Drosophila melanogaster: one gene and its partners. The protein of the gene in region 1 interacts with the protein of each later gene in a pairwise test. Each region holds a gene or a part of one and is shown on either strand. Other genes may lie near its edges.

Region 1 (3,989 bases):
GTTCCGCGTTATTCTTTCAGTGTGCACAATAAAATTGGCAAACACAGGGCTAGAAAAATAAGACGGACAAGGGGCAAAAAATAAAGAGAATAGAGACGAGAAAGAGATGGACGAAAGCGGCGGCGCAGACGCAGAATTAAATTATTTTGATCTATATTTTAGAATTTGATTTCGTTTGTGCAAATACAAAGAATGTGTCGTAATGCGATATTGTGAGTTTTCTGTCCTTACCAAACTATTAAACAATTAATAAAAATCGAGTCTCAGCAAGATATGCACTGCAAACTGCATAAATGAGACTATTGGGGTTTTCCTGAGAAATGAATATTCCGATGATCCCGAACGAAGTTCCTTTTAACACAACAATACGGGAGTTCATTCTCGCTTGACGTTTCTAAAATTTTCGGCGCCTTCTAGTGAGACCGTGGGCTGGATGTCAAAAAATACGTCAAGTGGCATATAAATACGAAAAGCTATAAGCAAGCACTGTCTTAGGGTTAACGTATTGGCGCCAAAATTCAAACTTCTTATTTTTAAAATATATTTAAGTGTTGAATAAATGTTTCAATAAAACTCTGTTAATATTTATACAAATGACTTAATAAAAAACTCCTGCAATGGGTAGCTTTTTAGTCTGTGTCTGCTTTTCCATAGCGTACAACTTGTGTTTTTTCTTCTTTCTTGGTCTCAATTCAAATGTATTGCCTGGATGCAGTTCATCATCGCTTGTGCCCTCCAATTGAACAGCATTCATTTGTGCTCGCGGCGACGAGCTAAGAGAATCCTTTCTGGGAAAGGAGGACATTGGCTTGACTACCACGCTCAAGGCTTCCAGATTGATACGTCTGTTGTCGTCGGAGGTTTCTGGTTCCAAAGGAGTAAAAGGCTCCATGGAATTTATGGACTTCAGTGGCTTTCGAGGCTCCTGAAAAGGTTCCAGGCGTGCAGCAGCCGCCGGAGCAACCTCAAACCTCTTTGGCTTCATTGGCCTCCTTAGCTTCATCTGCTGCTGGTGCTCCTCCCACACCCGATCCTGCAGTTTCAACTCCTCCTCCTTGGCCACTGCCAAGTCGTACAAGCTCTCTTTTTGGCTCGCTGGTCGAATTCCAAAGGAAAATACCCTGGATGGTGGCCTTGGCTCGGGTTTTTCGATACGTTCAGACGTCTTTGTTGTTGGTTCTTTCTCTTTAACGTGGTTCTCCGATACATCGTCGTCCGTTGAGTGACTTAGCAGTTCCAATTCCAGGTAGTTGAGATTCTTGAGCACCGATAGGGCATGCTGCTTGGTGGCCAAAATGATTTCCAGCAGCACCTTGGCACCTCCTAGCTTTTGAGATTTCGTCGATATGGGGCACTTATTACTGGGCTTAATCCTTTGAGCAGATGGCTTTCGCGTCGTTGGTGGACGCGAAGGTGCGGAAGGCGGAGGACGAGGTGTTGGTGGAGATGTGGGAAGCGGCTTGAGCGGAGGATCGGATGAGGGTTCCGGAAGGCAGAAAGTGGTGGGACTGCGCGTTGTGGTACTAAGGGTCGTCCGATGAGTCGTAGGGCTTCTTGTGGTGAACCCGTGGGATCGAGCCGTGGTGCCACGACAAGGCCCAGACTTCCTGGGCTGATCGACCTTGGAGCTAATGACCTTGGCCAGCAAATTGGCTGTTGCCACAGCTGGTTTTCCATCCAGCTGCTGGTCGTTTAAGTAGCCACCCAGCACCCTCTTGAGCTCACGATCGGACTTACGCTCATTCAAATGCTCATTGAAGTTCATCCTGGCCAGGGACTCGAAGGGATCATCCACATCCTCCTTACCCAGACAATCATCGTGCATTCCCTGTCCAATGGCGCCGTCATCAATCGGAAATTTGTACAAGTTATCTTTGAGCATCTGGGCGGCAACATTCGTGGGACCAACCAGATAGTGTTCCGATTTCACCTTGCCAGCAGCAGCCATTTTTTCTGGAATTCCCAATTTCTGCTCCATGTCGTCCAGCCGCTGGAAGAGCAGTTCCGGATCGGAGAAGTATCGCTGCTCCGAAGGCGCCAAGTCCCTTCGCTCGCTGCCGAACGGCCGCCTGGGCCACGAGGTATCCGCATATGAGTACCTGCGTACTGATCTTCCTTCGGATCGGTCGGTCGCTTGTCCAACGCTCGCCAGGATTGCCATTGCCAGTAATGAAAGTCGGACTGCGCTGTGGCTCAAAATCCGCGTTGACATTGTTCTCATAAGCACAACATCTTGCTGGAATTATCGCCGAGTCATGTTTGTAAAATTCCTTATATTCGAAATCAGTTCCATGACATGTTATGCTCATTGGTTGTTTTTATGTTTAAATAATTTTTTAAAAATCTTCTATAATTAAAGCGAAGAATTCTAAAAAAAAAAGTATACATTAAAAGTGAATTGGTAGATTATTTGCCCAAAGAACTCAAGTGGTCAAGTAGAGTTTAAATGGTAGTAAATAATCTTTTTAATATTTTGTTGAAAGAAGGCAGTCATATTTTTCTTGCTCAACAAAGGACGACGTCAGGTCGAACTTCTAAGGACACGGAGAAGGCTTGTTCAAGCAACAAAGCATAACGGGAATCAGTGGTTGGAAGGTTACTGGAAATCGGACTGGAAAGTGGAAATGCTGTGCTCATTCAGTTCGTAAGCCACAGTCGAGTTTTTCACGTCCAACTGTGCAGCACATCCTCGAAATAAATGGACATATTAAATACAAACTAAATTATAATAAATTGTGAAGTTAAGCGAAAAACAGAGATTTCCCATATCTCCCTGAAAGTTTTGTGTCATAGGCGTGTTTTCAAGAGTTTGCGAACTCATCGTTAAATGACACTCAAACGCAAAAGGCACAAAAACTAAACGCTAAACGGGGTCCGAAATCCTTAGTTAATGCCTTAAATACAAGCGGAAACCAAGTGTTGCGAAACCAAGTGCAATGACTGTCCTCAATATGCACGCCAAAATGATAATATTGATTTTATTTTTCTACAACGGTTCCTACAACTGGAGTAAAAAGCAGTAAGAGGCTCCTGGCTTCCACGCATTTCCTGCGGCAGGCGGCGTTTCATTTCATGTGTGTGCCGTCCTGCGATTGATAATACTCCCAATTATAATAAGGTAATGGGCTCCTGGCTTCTGTTTCCTGGCATCTCCAACTCCCTCTATTGATTTTGCCACTTGGCCAAATGACTGCGGTAACCAGGCAATTTGAGCCAAAAAGCAACACCAACGGGGAGCAGACAACAAAGAAATTGTCAATAAAAGTGCGCAAGAGCAGGGCATCCCCAACGCGACAGTGGCGTCCCGGAATATAAGGCCCAGTTAACAACTAGTAATATTTCAATAAATGAATGATTTCTTTTGTAAAAAAAGAAGAAGAAAACACAAATATTTGGAAAAAAAAAGTACACAAAGCCTAGTGCTCTTTTCTAGAATTAATGTTTATGAATTTAATATAAACATTTATTGCAGTCATTTTGTCAAGGTAGTTTCTTTAGACAAAGCTATATATTAACTTTATATTTATTTATCTTAACTTGTTATCATAAGTAATATTTAAGTCAGGACATCGAGTATACACATTTGAACGCCCTGGAGTGTTGGGCTCTGTGTTCTCGTTCCTCCTTCCAGGACTTCCAGCCTCTGTTCCGTGTGGAATGTGCATAGCCTTCCAGCGCCTGCGCCCTGGTGTCCTGTTGTTTTGATAGTAAAAAGGACATGGCAGTGCAGTTGTTTACAAACACGCACGCCAGACACGCGACACGTGGCGCAGGGAAGTTTCTGGAAGGCATATCGGGTCATGGATGTTGCTGGTTGATAGTGGGAGTGAGGAACACCGAATCTCGAGCGGATCCCATATATTACGCCCATTCCAAAGGCCGGCCGGCTGGGACGACTGGGCCGACTGGGCCGACGTGGCGGATGAGCGATGTCTGCCAACGGTGACGTCATAGTGGGCCAGCGACATTGAACTAGTTTCATCAGCACA
Region 2 (5,061 bases), 2.1 Mb from region 1:
CCCACAAATGAAACTGGATTTGTCGATTATACTTTTATACTTTATTTAGGGATATTCAGCGGCAAACAAATTCAGTTCTAAACGTCCTTATGGTTTTATGTTAAAAATAATATTTAAGTTATAAAACAATTGTTGATTCGCAAAGAAAAAAAAACAAAAAAGAAATCATAATTATAAACGACAACGTTTAACGTTTCACAATACTCTTTGCTATTCGGAATTTGTAACGAAGCCGGCATTTGGTTAATTTATTTAACTGCTGAATAGTGTGGTTTGTTGTTTGTTAATCATACTCTGTCCGCAGGCGATACTTACTTTGTCGTTGGGCACATACATTTGTAGTTTATATTTTGCTTTTTATGTTGGTTTTATCTCCATTATCTTATGAAACAATATTTTCAAGCTTAGTCTAAAATTATGCTTTGATAAATTAATTGTTTTGGGGGGGTTTTCGCTTGTGTTTAGTTCTCTTCTCGTATTGGCTTTAACTAGTATTAGGTTGATTGAAGTATGTCTTTTGTTTTTACAATCTTTTTGAGGATAAAATTTGTTGCATTATTGGTTTCTTGTTTTAATTTTAAACACAATTTGAATATCGGACAACAGTTGCAATAAAAATTTACGTTTTTTATTTGATTTTCGTTTATATATTATATTTAATAGGTGTGAATAGTTGGATTGTTGACTTCAAACATTTTGATATTTCGTTGGAATATATTTTAATCTTTACGCTTAACATTGTTTAGTTGTGGTTGTTGTTGTTGTTGTAGTTGTTGTTGAGGTTGGTTTCTTGGGGTTTTGGAAAATCGATGGGTTAACGTATTTTCGGATATGGAGCCGAGCGATATCGCACGCTTTCACGAGATCGGGATCCAGTTTCGTAGTGAGCAGATGAATGTGATCCCGAGCCCGAGGTGGTTGGTCGATATGACGATGATGAACGACCGTTGCTTGGTTTTGCTATTTTGAAAAGAATTTTATTTGTTGTTTAGACTTTAAATTGTTTCTTGTTCTGTCTCTGTGGTGCTGTTTTTTGGTTTTTGGTTTTTCTTTTGCTTAGCATATATACATTGTAAAAAAAAGAAAAATATATTGTTTAACCGGTTTTGAATGCACTACACCCTACGAAACGTTATTGTTTTGAGTAAAATGCATTTCGTTTCATCACGTTTCAAAAAAAGTTGTTCCACAAACCTTTCAGCTTGGATTTTATAGTTTAAGCATGTTCAAATATTTTTGGGTTTCTTGCCATGAAGTTTTATGGTTTTGTTTTCAAAGTGTGAATTTCAGTAATTTGATTGTTTGATCGATTGTTTTAATATTTTGGCTCTGGCTTCTTGTGAGTATGTTAGTAGTCGTCCAATTAATGAAGATGATTTACTGGTTGCTGTTCGGTTTAGTTGATTTGGCCTCTGTTCAGGCATAGTGCATTTAAAATCTTGTTAAAATGGGATGGGTTGCCGTTTTAATAATTTTGGTACGCGGCCTTGTTTCTTTTTCTTTTTTGGTTTCTGTTTTTTTCTGCGTTTTCAATTTATCGGCGCTTAGTTGGATAGATTTTGTTTTGTTTTCGAGTTTTTTTTTTGTTTTGATTTGCGCGAGTTAAGTTTAAACGTTTACATTGCTATTTGTCGTATTCTTTTTCTTTTCTTCATTTTGTTTATTTTTACATGCCTGCTGAGGGGAAGAGATTATTGGTCTAGAAATCTAGGTATCTTACCTGGATAGGCCGCCGCGTAGGAAGAGGAGGACGAGTGGGGGTGATACTCACGCCGATAGTCGCGCTCGTAGGAGCTACTGTCATACTGGGCGTGGTGGGTCGAGTGCTTTGATGTTTGGGGCGGCGGTGTGGCATAGCGATCATATTCTCCATGGTGGTCATATAGCTCGTGGTCCCGTGATCTGTTGAAAAAGTAAGGGATTAAAGGAGGGTTTTCTAACAATGGTTGATAACACAGATGCACGCTATTGAAAGCATAAGAATTTAACTTCTAAAGGCATCATTAACGCGATTGAACTTAGCTAACCTGTGCGTCTTTACGATCCCATAGTTGGGATCGTCCATCACATATCGAGCCTTCTCCAGAATCGAATAGACTTTGGGCTTTGAAGAAGCAGGGGGCGGGGTGCTGTGACGAAAGGAATTCCTTAGTAACCAATTAAAATTCAACGAAAATTGACAAGCCTACCGGGAACTGTAGGCGCCATGATCGCCATAGGATTTGGAATAGTGGTGAGACTTCTTGTACATGCGCTCCTTGCCATCCATCTCGCGTAGTTGCTCCAACCGAATGTCGTCGTTGGCGTCGGGTATCATAAACTTGCGGATCTCGCCTAGCGCATAGCTGATCCTGTGATAGGCCTCCGCTGGAGGGGCCACCGTGGATATCTCCACGTGCAAATCGCGGCTGAGATGGGCGTACTTTGGATTTCCGGAGCTGCGAAGCTCCTCCTCCTTACCGTGGTCGCGCATCGAGTTGCGCCCCATAACCACCATTTTGCACATAGTCTCTTCCTGCAGCTGCCGCAGTGTGTTGCCCTTGGGCCCCAGGATCTTGCCAACGAAATTGAACTTGGGGTACTCCTTGATGGGGAACAAGACTTTCTGGGCCACGCGGATGGGCTTTTCGCTGTACACGTTGGCATATATCTCGGGCTTTGGTATGCGTCCGCTGACCAAGATCTTCTCCACCTCTGCGGGGCCATGAAAAATTGCAATTAGATCCACTATAGCTTACATGTCGCAGCGCCTAACTCACCGTCGTCAAGTAAGCGCTTGGTGATGATGTGCTTCTTCTCGAGCGTCTTCTTTTCCAGCAGGCACTCCTGCAGATACGCGTTGGTCTTCTCATTCAGCTGGGGCGTGTCCCGCAGGGCGGCGTGGCTGGTGGTGTGTCCGCCGCCATCCGCCTCAGGGGTCTCTGGAGCACCGGTAGCCGCTGGCTCCTCGTCGCGTCGCTTCCGCTTGTAGTCGGCGGCGTCCTCGTTGTAGTCTCTGTCGTAGTCGCGCGGCATTGCGTTTTGTAGGATTTCTGGCCTGGAGGATTCGTGAATTTTAAAACTCCTACTCTTGAATACAAAATTCTACTATTGCAGAATTAGTTGGCTGAAAAAATATGTATGTGGTAGGACATCGATAGGTAAATCGGCATCACCGATTCGATAGCGTATTATCGGTTACTGCCGATAACAACCCGCCATCATGTGCATTAGTAGTTTATGACTTATCAATTTTATTAAAAACTTTCCCATAACAAAGAGAGCATTTAAATTATATTTGTAATTTAAAAATCACTAAGTGCATATTATAAATTATTGCCATGCACCTGACGACGCATCTATGTTAATATATAGCGTTAGATAGTGTCTGCAAGCCGATAACAACTATGCGCCCTTAACAGCACCGTCGATTGGCAGCGAACAGCACGCTGCAGAAGCACGAGAGACAGCCCGAGAGACCGGAGTTGCCGGACCGAGCCGCTGACATAGTAAATGTCCGAATAAAATACACACTTGGAAAAAGAGAGAAAAATTAGGGCCATTGGGAAGGCTGAAGTGTGCTAAGTTAGCAATCATACCGAATCGACAGCAAAAGCGATCGCCCGCAATCTGCGCACGGAAAATCCGAGACTCGGCGACTTAGCAGGACGATAGAGCGACAGCGATCCCGAAGGCAGGACGACAAATGGCGGAGAACGGACTGCGCGTGCCAGGGTCATCCGCGGTGGCCTCTGCGGTGGCTTCCACTGCGACGGGAGTCGGCGGTGGATCAGCAGCGGGAACTGCGGGGGCCGGGACAGGAGTGGTGCCCACCGGCGTCAGCGGCGGGACGAGCAACGGGGAGCATGAGAACGAACACAACGCCAACGCAGACGGCGAGAAGGCCCAGCCGGCGCCGGCGGTCCAGAAGTACATGCAGGAGCTCATGACGGAGCGATCGCGCATGGAAAACCACTTCCCCCTGGCGGTGAAGCTAATTGACGAAGGTAAATTGATTTGTCAGGGGCACTTCATGGTAATTACTTTGATTTCCCTCTGTTTTTGCAGCTCTGGAGCGTGTGCAGCTAAACGGACGCATTCCCACGAGAGACCAGTACGCCGATGTCTACCAGCAGCGCACCATCAAGCTGTCCCAAAAAGTGCACGTGCCCATCAAGGACAAGAAGTTCAACTATGTGGGCAAGCTACTGGGGCCCAAGGGCAACTCACTGCGTCGCCTGCAGGAGGAGACGCAGTGCAAGATCGTCATACTTGGTCGCTTCTCAATGAAGGATCGCGCACGTGAGGAGGAGCTGCGCAACTCCGCGGACGCGAAGTACGCCCACCTGAATCTTCCTCTGCACGTCGAGGTGTCCACCATTGCTCCGCCCGCCGAGGCGTACGCTCGGGTGGCGTATGCCCTGGCCGAGATTCGGCGGTACCTCACGCCGGACAAGCACGATGACATCCGCCAAGAGCAGTACCGCGAACTCATGGAGGATCCGGAGGCGGCCAAGAAGCTGACGCTTCGCCAGCTGCAACAGCAGTCGAATGCGGCAGCTAGTGGTGCAGGAGGAGGAGGCGGTGGTGGAGGCGGAAACGGAAATGGCGGCGCAGCTGGATCCGGCAGCAATAATGGCAATGGGAACCAGCGCTCCGGCGGCAACTACAGGTGGGTTGCAGTTCAATGTCCTCTACGAGCCTCGAGTCTAGCTAAACTCCCATGTTTCTTACAGACAAAAGTTTCAGCAACAATCACACTATCGCCACAACGAGGAGACTGTCTATTTTCGCTCACACAACAATGCGTACCACCAGCCAAAACCCTATGTGCCAGGTAAGTCTGGGCTCTCCTGGTCCATAGACCATAGATTCTATGTTCGCTTTTGCAGCCGCCCAACGGGGCAATGCCATGCACACCACCTTGCCACCGCAAGCAATTGTGCGAGCCTCACCGCCCGGAATGGTCGTCAGTGCGGCCAGCTTCAATGGCCGAAATGCCGGACTGGGTAATGCCGGCGGTGGCGGAATCATGGCCAATAGCATCGTGGCCACCACTGGCGGTGGCATCGGTGGCGCTGT
Region 3 (5,262 bases), on another chromosome or scaffold:
TCAGCTTGGTGGAGCGCAACGAGTTCACCGTGGACTGCGGCCAGGCGGGTAGCAACATGCTCCTGGTGGGCGTACTGGGGCAACGCGGTCCCTGCGAGGAGGTGGTGGTCAGGCACCTGGGACGCGGCATACACAGGGTCACCTACCGCGTGTGCGATCCCGGTGACTACATCCTGGTGGTCAAGTGGGGGGAGCAGCATGTACCCGGATCCCCGTTCAGCTTAAGTGCGGATTAGCCGTAGAAAGTAAATGTGCCTGCATAAATCAGCTGACCTTGATGGGGCGCTACTGCCACCCATCTGCCTCACTTCTCAATGGAATCCTGCGCAGCTTCTCCGGGCGATTTCGCCCCACCTAATGATGATTGCCGATGATAGCGTTATGGGTGCTCCTTGCTGCTCTTTTCCCGCCACTAATGACGTTCGCATTTGGGAGCTGATGCTCTCGGCGCCTCACAACCTAATGATGATGACCGGCGAATATGGAGAATGTGGGTAAGCTGAGTATGAGGGGGCAAATATGTAGTAGTAATGCGTACACTTGAGGTTAGTGCAATAGTCACAAGTTTGGAAAATAGTGAAATATACTTAAGTAAAAGTAATAATACATTTTAAACACTAGCATGCATTTACCATTAAAAATATATTTTAGCTAATGATTCATTAAAATAAATTCACTAAAATAACAGTTATATAAGAGAGGTGCCATCTTAAAATTATATTAAAAATGTTGCACAATAAATTAAGATAAGTATTGTACTATACATATAATAGTTTAATATGATTTGATTTTAAGGGTAACTATTAAGCTGACCATTATTGTTTATAGAAATGATAAAAGGTGGGGGCTGCACGATGATGTTGTAGCTATTAAAATGTCAAGTTCTTGAAGATGATGACATATTCATTTTGTATTCCTAAACAATCTGTACTTAGTAACAAAAGAAAAAGATACATATTTGCAATATAGAAATTTGTAAACACTGAAGAACATAATTGTTTATAATAATATATTTAGGGAGAATGAAAATAGATTGATATTCAACTAAAACCTATTTGAAAGTAAAAATATGTGTCAATAACTAGAAATTTACGTAATATATTTTTCAAAATACAAATAAACAACATTAGTTTGTATGTCTATTATTAATTATCTCAAAGTTTACTATTTATATAGTTGGCTAGGTTCGTAGATTTTTGAATATTTGGTGACCTTGTTATTGGGATTTCGCTTCCCCCAATTTCTTCTTCCTCTGCCTTGCCCCACCCCCATCGCCTATCGCCCCGCCCCGCCAGCACTTTTTCATCGAGACGATGTGCAATTTAATGATGATTACCCCACAAGCAAAGCCAACTGACGACGACTTTGTGGCAGCAGCGACATTATCATTTTTTGTTATTTAGCCCGCTAATGACGTTTGCTTTTGTTGTTGTTGTTGTTGCTCCATCGCACAACCTAATGATGATGATGATGACCGGCACATACGTGTCGGTGTGACTGTGCCAGTGTGTGTGTGCATTATGCTCCAAGAAAAGCGATTTGTTGAAGGGAGGCGGGAGTAGGTGGTGGTGATGATGATGATGAGCGATGAAATGCGCTTGCTTTGTTGCGCCCTAACGAGCCGAGATTGAAGTAAAAGTACTGTATTGAGCACGATAAATGGCAGATGACTTGGTTCTATTGGCCTAAAGCCGCAATAAACATTTTCAATTTCCCACCTTTTGGCGCTGTTCGAAACCCCAACGCACTGCACTGGCGACTGTCTGGCAACGCCATGTCACACTAGCCGCACCGCTCACACCATGTTGCTCTTGCCATGCCATGCTGTCTCGCTCACGCCGAGAACATCATTATAGAGTCGAATTGCGAGAGCTGCGCAGCGTAGGAGCTACAAACTACGTTTTTCGTGTGTTTCCCTCTTGAAGATAATTAAAATTTAATTATTTGACTTATTATTAAGTTTTGTGCCCACGCTGTTGGCGTCGTAGTGTTGTTGTTTCGCCCGTTGTTGCATGGAGCAAAGCGAAAAACGTAACAATAGAACGCAATCAACGCAAGAAAATCGGATGTGGATGCGATGTGAGTGTGTGTATCTCTGAAATGGGAAAAGTGTGTGCGTGTGTGTATTCGAGAAAAGTAACCTCTCACCCCCCGCGAACTTACATATATGTACATTGGCTCCAATGCTGCTATCCCGCAGCCGCCGTCGCCGTCGACGTCGGCGGAGCATCTTCATCCGCATCTGAGCCCAACTCCCTTCTACACTTGAGTTACCGCTTCACTTCGATTCCAAACGTCGCCGCATCCACTTCTCATCTTCTGCTGCTGCCGCAGCTGCTGCATGCATATCGCAACTTGTTTCGCTCGCACAATTAATATTTGTTTACCGTTTACCGTTCGATTTGCATTGCATGCGTGTGTGTTTGTGCGGGAGCGGCTGAGCTGCGTCGGTGTGTGTGAGCCGGCTTAATGATAATTGAAAGCTAGAAAATAGACAAAGTACACCGACTAGTAAATACCCTTTAGTGCCAGAAAATGGGTTGTTAGCCAATGGGATTACGGTACAAACAACACGGAAGCGACAATAACCCATTTTAAAATCATTGGATGCCAAATTTAAAACAGTTCCTATAACATTTTGTTTCCTGTGATAAGAATTGTTAAAAATACTTGCGTTTTAAAAGTTTAAGCTGAAATTAATTAGTGAATATAAATAGAACTTCAAATTGTGCATAATTATATCGTATAGTAATTAATACCCATGACAACTAGGGAATGAGTCCTTCTAGGAGCTTAAAAATACATAAATATTTCTATGAATCCAAACTCTGCTGCAATATAATAGAATTTTATGTGTATTACAACATTATACCCTTTAATTGCCGCGAGAACTAAGTTAACTATGAAATGCAATCATTCGTAACCCTTTTTGTGGGAAGGTATTAGGCTACAAAAGATTAATTACCATTTCAATTCAATTAAATAGTCATCAAATAGGTGGCTGACCATATGTTCGGTTGTTTATTTACGTGTGGTGTGCACTTTTTAAGAAATCCCTGAAACTCATAGGGATTGCAATATTAATACGTCTAACAATACAAATAGTAAACAACGACACCTGCACGTTAACTAATCATTTGATTTATTTCAGGAGCGAATCCGTGTACAGTATGCCAGCCCACTAGATAAACCGCTTCATGTCCTCCATCAGCTGGCAGACGAAGATTGTCGGGCAATCCCATTTGTCGGCAGTAAGACCCATGTGAAATGCCTGTAAGTTGTCTTTGGAATCAGTAGCTTTATCATCAATATAATCGTATACCTATTCGCAGTATGAAAAATTCAACAAAAAGCGCCGACAATGGGAGGATAGTGGTGTTCTAGAGCTGATCAAACTATGGAAAGTCTGCGCCTATGAGCTGCGCACCATTAAACGCAATGGCCATCTGTATGTGGCAATGGCCAAGCAGCTAACCTCGCTGGGCGTCCCTGTTACCGCACTCGAGGTTCACTTTAAAGTCAACAATCTAACGCAGCGCTACCGGCAGGAGCAGAAGACCTTTGAGACCACAGGCATCATCAGCACCTGGAAGTTCTACAGTCAAGTGGATGATGTGTTTAAGAGTCTGGCCGCACACACCGGTTACAAGTTGGTTGAGATATGATAGATACTTCCCATATAGCAATCCCAAACTAACAAAATATCTTATTATTTTCCAGAGACAAACGCATGACAAGTGCGTCCAATACGAGCAGCTTACCATCCACATCCGAGTCACCAGTTTGGAAGAATCCAATGTCTCAGCAAGAGTTTAATAGTAACAACACGGAGGGGTTCTATAAGTAAGCACTAGCATTGGAACACCTTCCTCACAACATGTTTAAATAACAATTGGGATTTGCAGGACCGAGTACGGGATGCATCGGCACTTTATGGACCACTCCCAGCCACCACCCAATGCCGGCAGCGTGGACAACTTCATGGCCTCATCGGCGGCCGTGGCGGCGGTGGCTGCCGCTGCCTCAGCCCGCCTGGCGGATAACAACATGGATCAGCAAATGAACACGGCTGCCGGTGGAAGCGGTGGCAGTGGTGGTGGTGGGGGCAACACCAATGGAGGCGTGGCCAACTACCAGAAGATCAAGAAGTCGCACGAGGACTACGACAAGTTCGTGGACATTGTGAAGAACATCGTGGACACGCACAAGAGCACTCCCGATAAGGTGGACACGTTCGGCGACTTCATCAAATCGTACATGAAGCGCTGGCCGGAGCGGCTGCAGGACGAGGCCATCAACCACATCACCAACTATGTGATCGTGAAGAACATGGAGCACAGCATGGTCAGCAGCCACAATCCCGAGGGGGTGAACAACCGACAATAACAATACAAGCAGGAGCCCAACAACTGAACGAGTTGTTGGACGACGCAGCTCCAGGAACCAGGCACAGAAGCCGAACGAAGTGAGACGTTAGGCGAGGATTACTTAAGGTGGCGCGCAGTTACTTAACCGCATCTGAGTTGCGGCCAAGTTCATTGGACACACACACGGCATACAGTATTTTTTGTATAGTTAAAATATACATTGGAGTTTTAGTTCTCGACGATCGCGCCCTCGATACAGAGTTGACTTCCGTAAAGAGGGGGCTGGATCGATCAATCGTGCATAGAGATCCTAGGGAGTACATTACATTTAGACACCATTTCCTACTGTTAGCTGTAAACTATTATGCATAAATTAATAAATGCTTTAACGATTATTTATGATTGGTAGTAAGAATGCACTATTGACACGTAGTCTTAGGAAAATTGTACACTTTACAATTTAAATAGATATTCAAATTACTTCTTGCTTCTCTTGCAGATCTTGAGTTTACCTAGTGTCCGTCTGCCTCCGCTAGGTTTTCCTTCGTGTAATCCAAAACACGACGCTTCATACGACAGATGTATTGGCTATGCATGAGGTACATTTTGAGGAATCCCTTGATCGCTATGAAAGTCAATCCCCCAAGAAGAGTTTGTTGCAATCTATCGTCGACAGAGCTGTAAAGAACTCTACCCACGTACATGGATATGGTGGGCAAGAGGATGGCTCCACAGACCACCCGCGATGCTGAATATTCGGTCATTGGCGCAGAAGGGTATGGTTCGGTCTGGTGGTCATATTTCCGTCCTAGGCACATCATTGAAAGACTTCGCAGCAATGAATAACATATTCTAATGAAGCGCAACAGGGCATCTTCCCAGGGAATTAAGCGTC
Region 4 (4,353 bases), about 11 Mb from region 1:
CCGAACAGAAGCGAGTTATGAGCAATAATGTGAAGAATCTCTGGGTGGATTTCGTCAACGATCTGCCCGTTAACGAGTTACTGGTCAGCAAGGCAGAAAACCGTCCCAATCTTCACGTGGAAAGCCAACTGATCTTCACCCAGCCCCTCACTGTGGGTCACTACGAAGCGGGCAACGGAAATGGGCTGCTGGATAAATATTACAAGAAAAAGCGGGGTGTCGAATCGAATGACATTCATGATTGGCAGCAGCTGCAGGAAAATGTGGCAGCTATTAAAAACAGATTGGCCAGTATGTTAAAAACACATTAATACAAATTCTCCTTTAGTCATGTGCATTAAATTCAACCAACAGAGCCGCCTAAAGTGCTGGAAGGCTTTGCTGTGCTGCAGAAATTACCTCATAAGGCCTCGCACATGAAGATCATCTCCGTGGACAACGAGGACGTACTGGCCATCTGGGAGCAGATGCCCAGCGAAGTAGGGACTACTTACACATGGCAACCGGATATACATCTTTTTGGGCGAAGTTCAAGTAAGTTATGTAGATTTATTTGCATATAAACGTATTTTAAAATCAAGTAGCATATTCAACCTTAAATAGGGACAAATTCGAAATCTCAAATATTAGAAATACATTTTAAATTTAGCTTTAAAATTCATGCGTAAATGCTATGAACACTCATACCAGAACTGTGAGTAAATACATTTTACAAGTGGGCGGCACAGAACGCAGACGTTTGAACACGGAAAAAATAATACGATAAATACGAGAAATGGTTCAGACAGGCCTACTACATAACTACCTTTTTAGTTTGTCTAATAAGTAAGCTGAGTAATCATTTAAATTGCGAGTATCAGTCGGTCTACTGCTCCAGTTCGTCGCTCTGCACATCGAGGATGGCGCGCAAGATGGACAGCTCCAGCTTGGCGGAGGCACGCGAAGAGAGTCTGTTCATCACATTGGCCACGTACAGCCCGAGAGACTCGTGTCGCGACGAGTTGCATAGATTCTTGAAAAAGGTTGGCGGCAGCGAGTTGTCAAAGTTGCCCAGGTTGATAATCTCGGGTGTATTGGAGGAGGCGGCGTTGATCTTCGGCCCGAAGATAATGTCATTCTTAAAGTCCAGCTCGTCGATGTGTGGCGAAAAGCCGTTTGTGGAAGCCACCGAGGTGGAAGCAATGGTGGCGGCTGTCGATGAGTTCGCTCCCCCACCACCACCGTTTATCTGTTGTGCCGATGGAATGGTGATGATGTTGATACCCGGCGGTGGTGTCTGGTTGTCCTCACGCTCCTTCTTAACCTGCATCAGCTGGGCAGTGGTTGTGTGCACCACATTGTTTCCCGCCGGCAGTTGATCTGGAACGCTGGTGTGCACTGAAGTTGCGGCTGCCGATGAAGCGGCTTGTTTCGGGCTCGTGGTCTTGGTCTGCTTTTTTTGCGCCGATGACGAGGTGTACTCCTCCGAAAGTTTGCGCTTCAAAGAATCTGGCAGCTGAATGGTGGTGCGCGAGGAGCTTGATCTTTGCCCACTGGCTGGCGCCTGTTGCCCAATAGCCGGTTTCGGTGCTGCTGCGGAGCTGGGCGTCTTCTTCACAGTAATTCCCTTCTTTTGCAGTACTGCTGCGGCGGCGGACAGCGAGCTACTTCGCGGTGTGTTGTTAGCCAGTGTGTTGAGCAGCTTTTTCTCCTCGATGGCTGGGCGAGGAGTGTCGACGTTGGGTTTGGCGTACGCCAACCGCTCGTCCTTTTCTGGCGAACCGGTGCTGTGTGACTTTGTGGGGCTTTCGCCGTCGGAGGACGCCGAGCCGGTAGAGTTGGTGTGCTGTCCGTACTGATGGGCGTCATCCTCGTCCTCAGGCTCCTGCACCTCCAGCATTTCGTACTCCTCCACCTCCTCCATGGGTACTTGATCACTGCAGAATAGCAGTAGAAATTTTGTTAGTGTTTCACGGTTAGAGGACTATTTACGCCACTTACTTCTCCTCCTTGATTGAGATTTTAGGCTCCTGATGGATCTGATGCATCAGACTGAAGAGCTTCCACGCCGAATTGCCCTTTAGCTTTTCCTGCTCGTACTTCTTTTGGAGCACTATGAAGATGGAGCGCGATTCGTGCACAGAGAGCTTGTTGAGACGCCCGATCCTGGCCCACGCCTCCTCCTGCTCCTGCTTGCTGGCGCCGCCATTGTTTGGATGCAGCACCTTTTCTTTGGCGATGTCCTGCAGAATCTTGTCCAGTTGGATTGCCATCTTAGTCAGCGACTTGCGGCCCGCTGGTTGCGCGTTCCTGATAATTTTGGAGGCTGTTTTGATAACACGCGACACACGAATTGGTATATGTAACTAGGATCCGCTTGTTTTTCTCTCCGCTTTCGCACCGTTCGCTTCTCTTTTCTTCTGTATTTGGCGTCGGTAAATTGGCGGAAAATGTGACCGTGCAACACGCAAATACTAGAAATGCCGCCTTTTGGTACAGTAACTTAGGGATGAGGGAGATTTTGGCAACATAGATGTTCACAGTTCACAGCTCTCGATGCAGTGAAAATTAAATTTTTATATATTATATTTATCACTATAAATATTAATACTTGCATTATTTTTACTTATATAACAATTATAATGTTTCTCCATAAGGAAAAGTTATTCATTTTGGTAGTCATAACTATCGAAGGAATGGTTTTTGTTTTGTCTTTTTCTATTCTATTCTCATACTTTATTTATTTATTTTATGTAAGGATCCTTACATATCGATAATTCTTAATACCGCTAATTTACGGTAAAACTACCCGTCTATCTTGCTGCCGATAGGGACAAACAAATAACGCAATTTATATTGCAGATGAGAACTCCACGAAATTTAAATTTTATTGAAATACGTTACAGTTTTCGCCACCTCACAACGCCACGATATTTACTTTGTCCTGACCACCTATGCATTTGACCGTTTCCAAGCGCGTAGGCCCATCCGCTCCGGCTGGACTGCTAACCATAAAGGGGAATTCGGCCAGGCCGTAGCAGGCAGCGCCATAATTACCCAGCCGATCTACGGCGATGAGAGCACCCATGAAATCCTTGTGGTGCTTGAGAATGCGGCGAAGGCCCTCTTGAGCTGCCTCAGCCGGAGGTTTTCCCGCCCGCATGGTCTCCACCGCTAGCAGGGAGGGCAGGAAGCGCATCATCACATCTCCATCTCCGGTTGCCACGGCTGCACCCACCTCGTTGTCTGCATAAGCGCCAGCACCCGGAATGGGGGAGTCGCCGACCCGTCCGGGAATCTTGTGCCGCGCCCCGTTGGTGGAGGTGCCGGCGTGGATGTTGCTTTCCACGTCGATGGCGATCATGCCGATGGTATCGTGGTTCTTGCGTCCGATCTCATACTCATTGCGGGCACGGTCCTCCTTCCAGCGGGTCAGCGGAGTCGGCCGCGGCTTATACGGGCCGCAAGAGACCTTGGGATCCGGGTGAACGTTCTTCCAGAAGTTTGGCTGGCAGTTCTCAGCCGTCCACTGTAACCACATGTCCTTCGACTCCGGCGTGACCAGCGACTCTGATTCGAATCCCATAGCATTGGCGAAAGCTGACGCCGCATCACCCACCAGCATGGTGTGCTGCGTGTGTTCCAGAACATGCCGGGCTACCTTAATGGCATCCTTAATGCGTCGCAGACCAGCCACTGCCCCCACATCCATGGTGGCCCCGTCCATGACCATGGCATCCAGTGTGGTTTCGCCCAACTCGTCCGGCGATCCGCCATAGCCCACCGTTCGGTCACACTGGAGTTTCTCACACTTCGAGCAGCCCTCCACTACCGCATTCCGCGTCTGCCGGAGTCCACCCTTGCTTTGCTTCAGGATTCGCCAGGCGAGCACATTGGCAGCCGTGAAGTTCCAAGTGTTAATGACCATGGGCAGCAGCTCACCCGTCGTCTTATTCGCCTTCACGGCAGTGGTGCCAGCTTTTCCACTGCAAAGGGGCGGATCTTAGCGAACAAAGAATACGCTGTATGCGCTGCTCACCTAAACGCCGAAGTCAGCGTTGGTTTGGGCGAAGTATTTACTGCCGCAAGGATGGAAAACGCCATGGTGGCCAAACAAAGGATCCAAAGACTTGCCCGCAAGTGCCTTCTCATGGTTAATCGTAATGGTCTCTACGAGAAGTCTTGGTGTATCACAATCTGTCCCTGTTCTGCCGGAAAATGGTCGAGTTCTGCTTTTAAATGCTAGCAGTCTAACCTCACTGTTTTGCTTTCTTATCTGTTGTTTTGATATACCCTCTAAAAGAGTCGTACACATTTTCAAATTGGTTTAAGCAATATTTTAAAACTTGAAAATGTTTCAACATAGATTAAGAT

Evidence for each region.
Region 2: the proteins of CG13871 (region 1) and qkr58E-1 interact in a two-hybrid assay, tested with the Drosophila melanogaster proteins (one large-scale study listed by BioGRID).
Region 3: the proteins of CG13871 (region 1) and CG18766 interact in a two-hybrid assay, tested with the Drosophila melanogaster proteins (one large-scale study listed by BioGRID).
Region 4: the proteins of CG13871 (region 1) and Map60 interact in a two-hybrid assay, tested with the Drosophila melanogaster proteins (one large-scale study listed by BioGRID).

What each region holds. Positions count from the first base shown.
Region 1 is NT_033778.4:20,315,580-20,319,568, reverse strand, and holds CG13871 (uncharacterized protein), read right to left. Parts: upstream 2,247-3,989; 5' UTR 2,162-2,246; coding exon 599-2,161; 3' UTR 530-598; downstream 1-529.
Region 2 is NT_033778.4:22,412,381-22,417,441, forward strand, and holds qkr58E-1 (quaking related 58E-1), read right to left. Parts: upstream 3,139-5,061; 5' UTR 3,016-3,138; coding exon 2,760-3,015; intron 2,695-2,759; coding exon 2,190-2,694; intron 2,130-2,189; coding exon 2,028-2,129; intron 1,903-2,027; coding exon 1,721-1,902; coding exon of another isoform or gene 1,692-1,720; exon of another isoform or gene 961-1,691; coding exon 815-960; 3' UTR 537-814; downstream 1-536. Other genes in the region: qkr58E-2 (quaking related 58E-2), read left to right, coding at 3,686-3,986, 4,048-4,651, 4,716-4,816, 4,872-5,061.
Region 3 is NT_033777.3:27,241,834-27,247,095, reverse strand, and holds CG18766 (uncharacterized protein), read left to right. Parts: upstream 1-1,846; 5' UTR 1,847-1,906; exon of another isoform or gene 1,907-2,079; intron 2,080-2,277; exon of another isoform or gene 2,278-2,450; intron 2,451-3,151; 5' UTR 3,152-3,267; coding exon 3,268-3,273; intron 3,274-3,332; coding exon 3,333-3,649; intron 3,650-3,720; coding exon 3,721-3,843; intron 3,844-3,905; coding exon 3,906-4,386; 3' UTR 4,387-4,761; downstream 4,762-5,262. Other genes in the region: CG5984 (uncharacterized protein), read left to right, coding at 1-236; CG17991 (uncharacterized protein), read right to left, coding at 4,880-5,262.
Region 4 is NT_033778.4:9,588,928-9,593,280, reverse strand, and holds Map60 (Microtubule-associated protein 60), read right to left. Parts: upstream 2,415-4,353; 5' UTR 2,253-2,414; coding exon 1,981-2,252; intron 1,917-1,980; coding exon 866-1,916; 3' UTR 537-865; downstream 1-536. Other genes in the region: CG1827 (uncharacterized protein), read right to left, coding at 2,897-3,965, 4,019-4,131; clos (closca), read left to right, coding at 1-291, 355-534.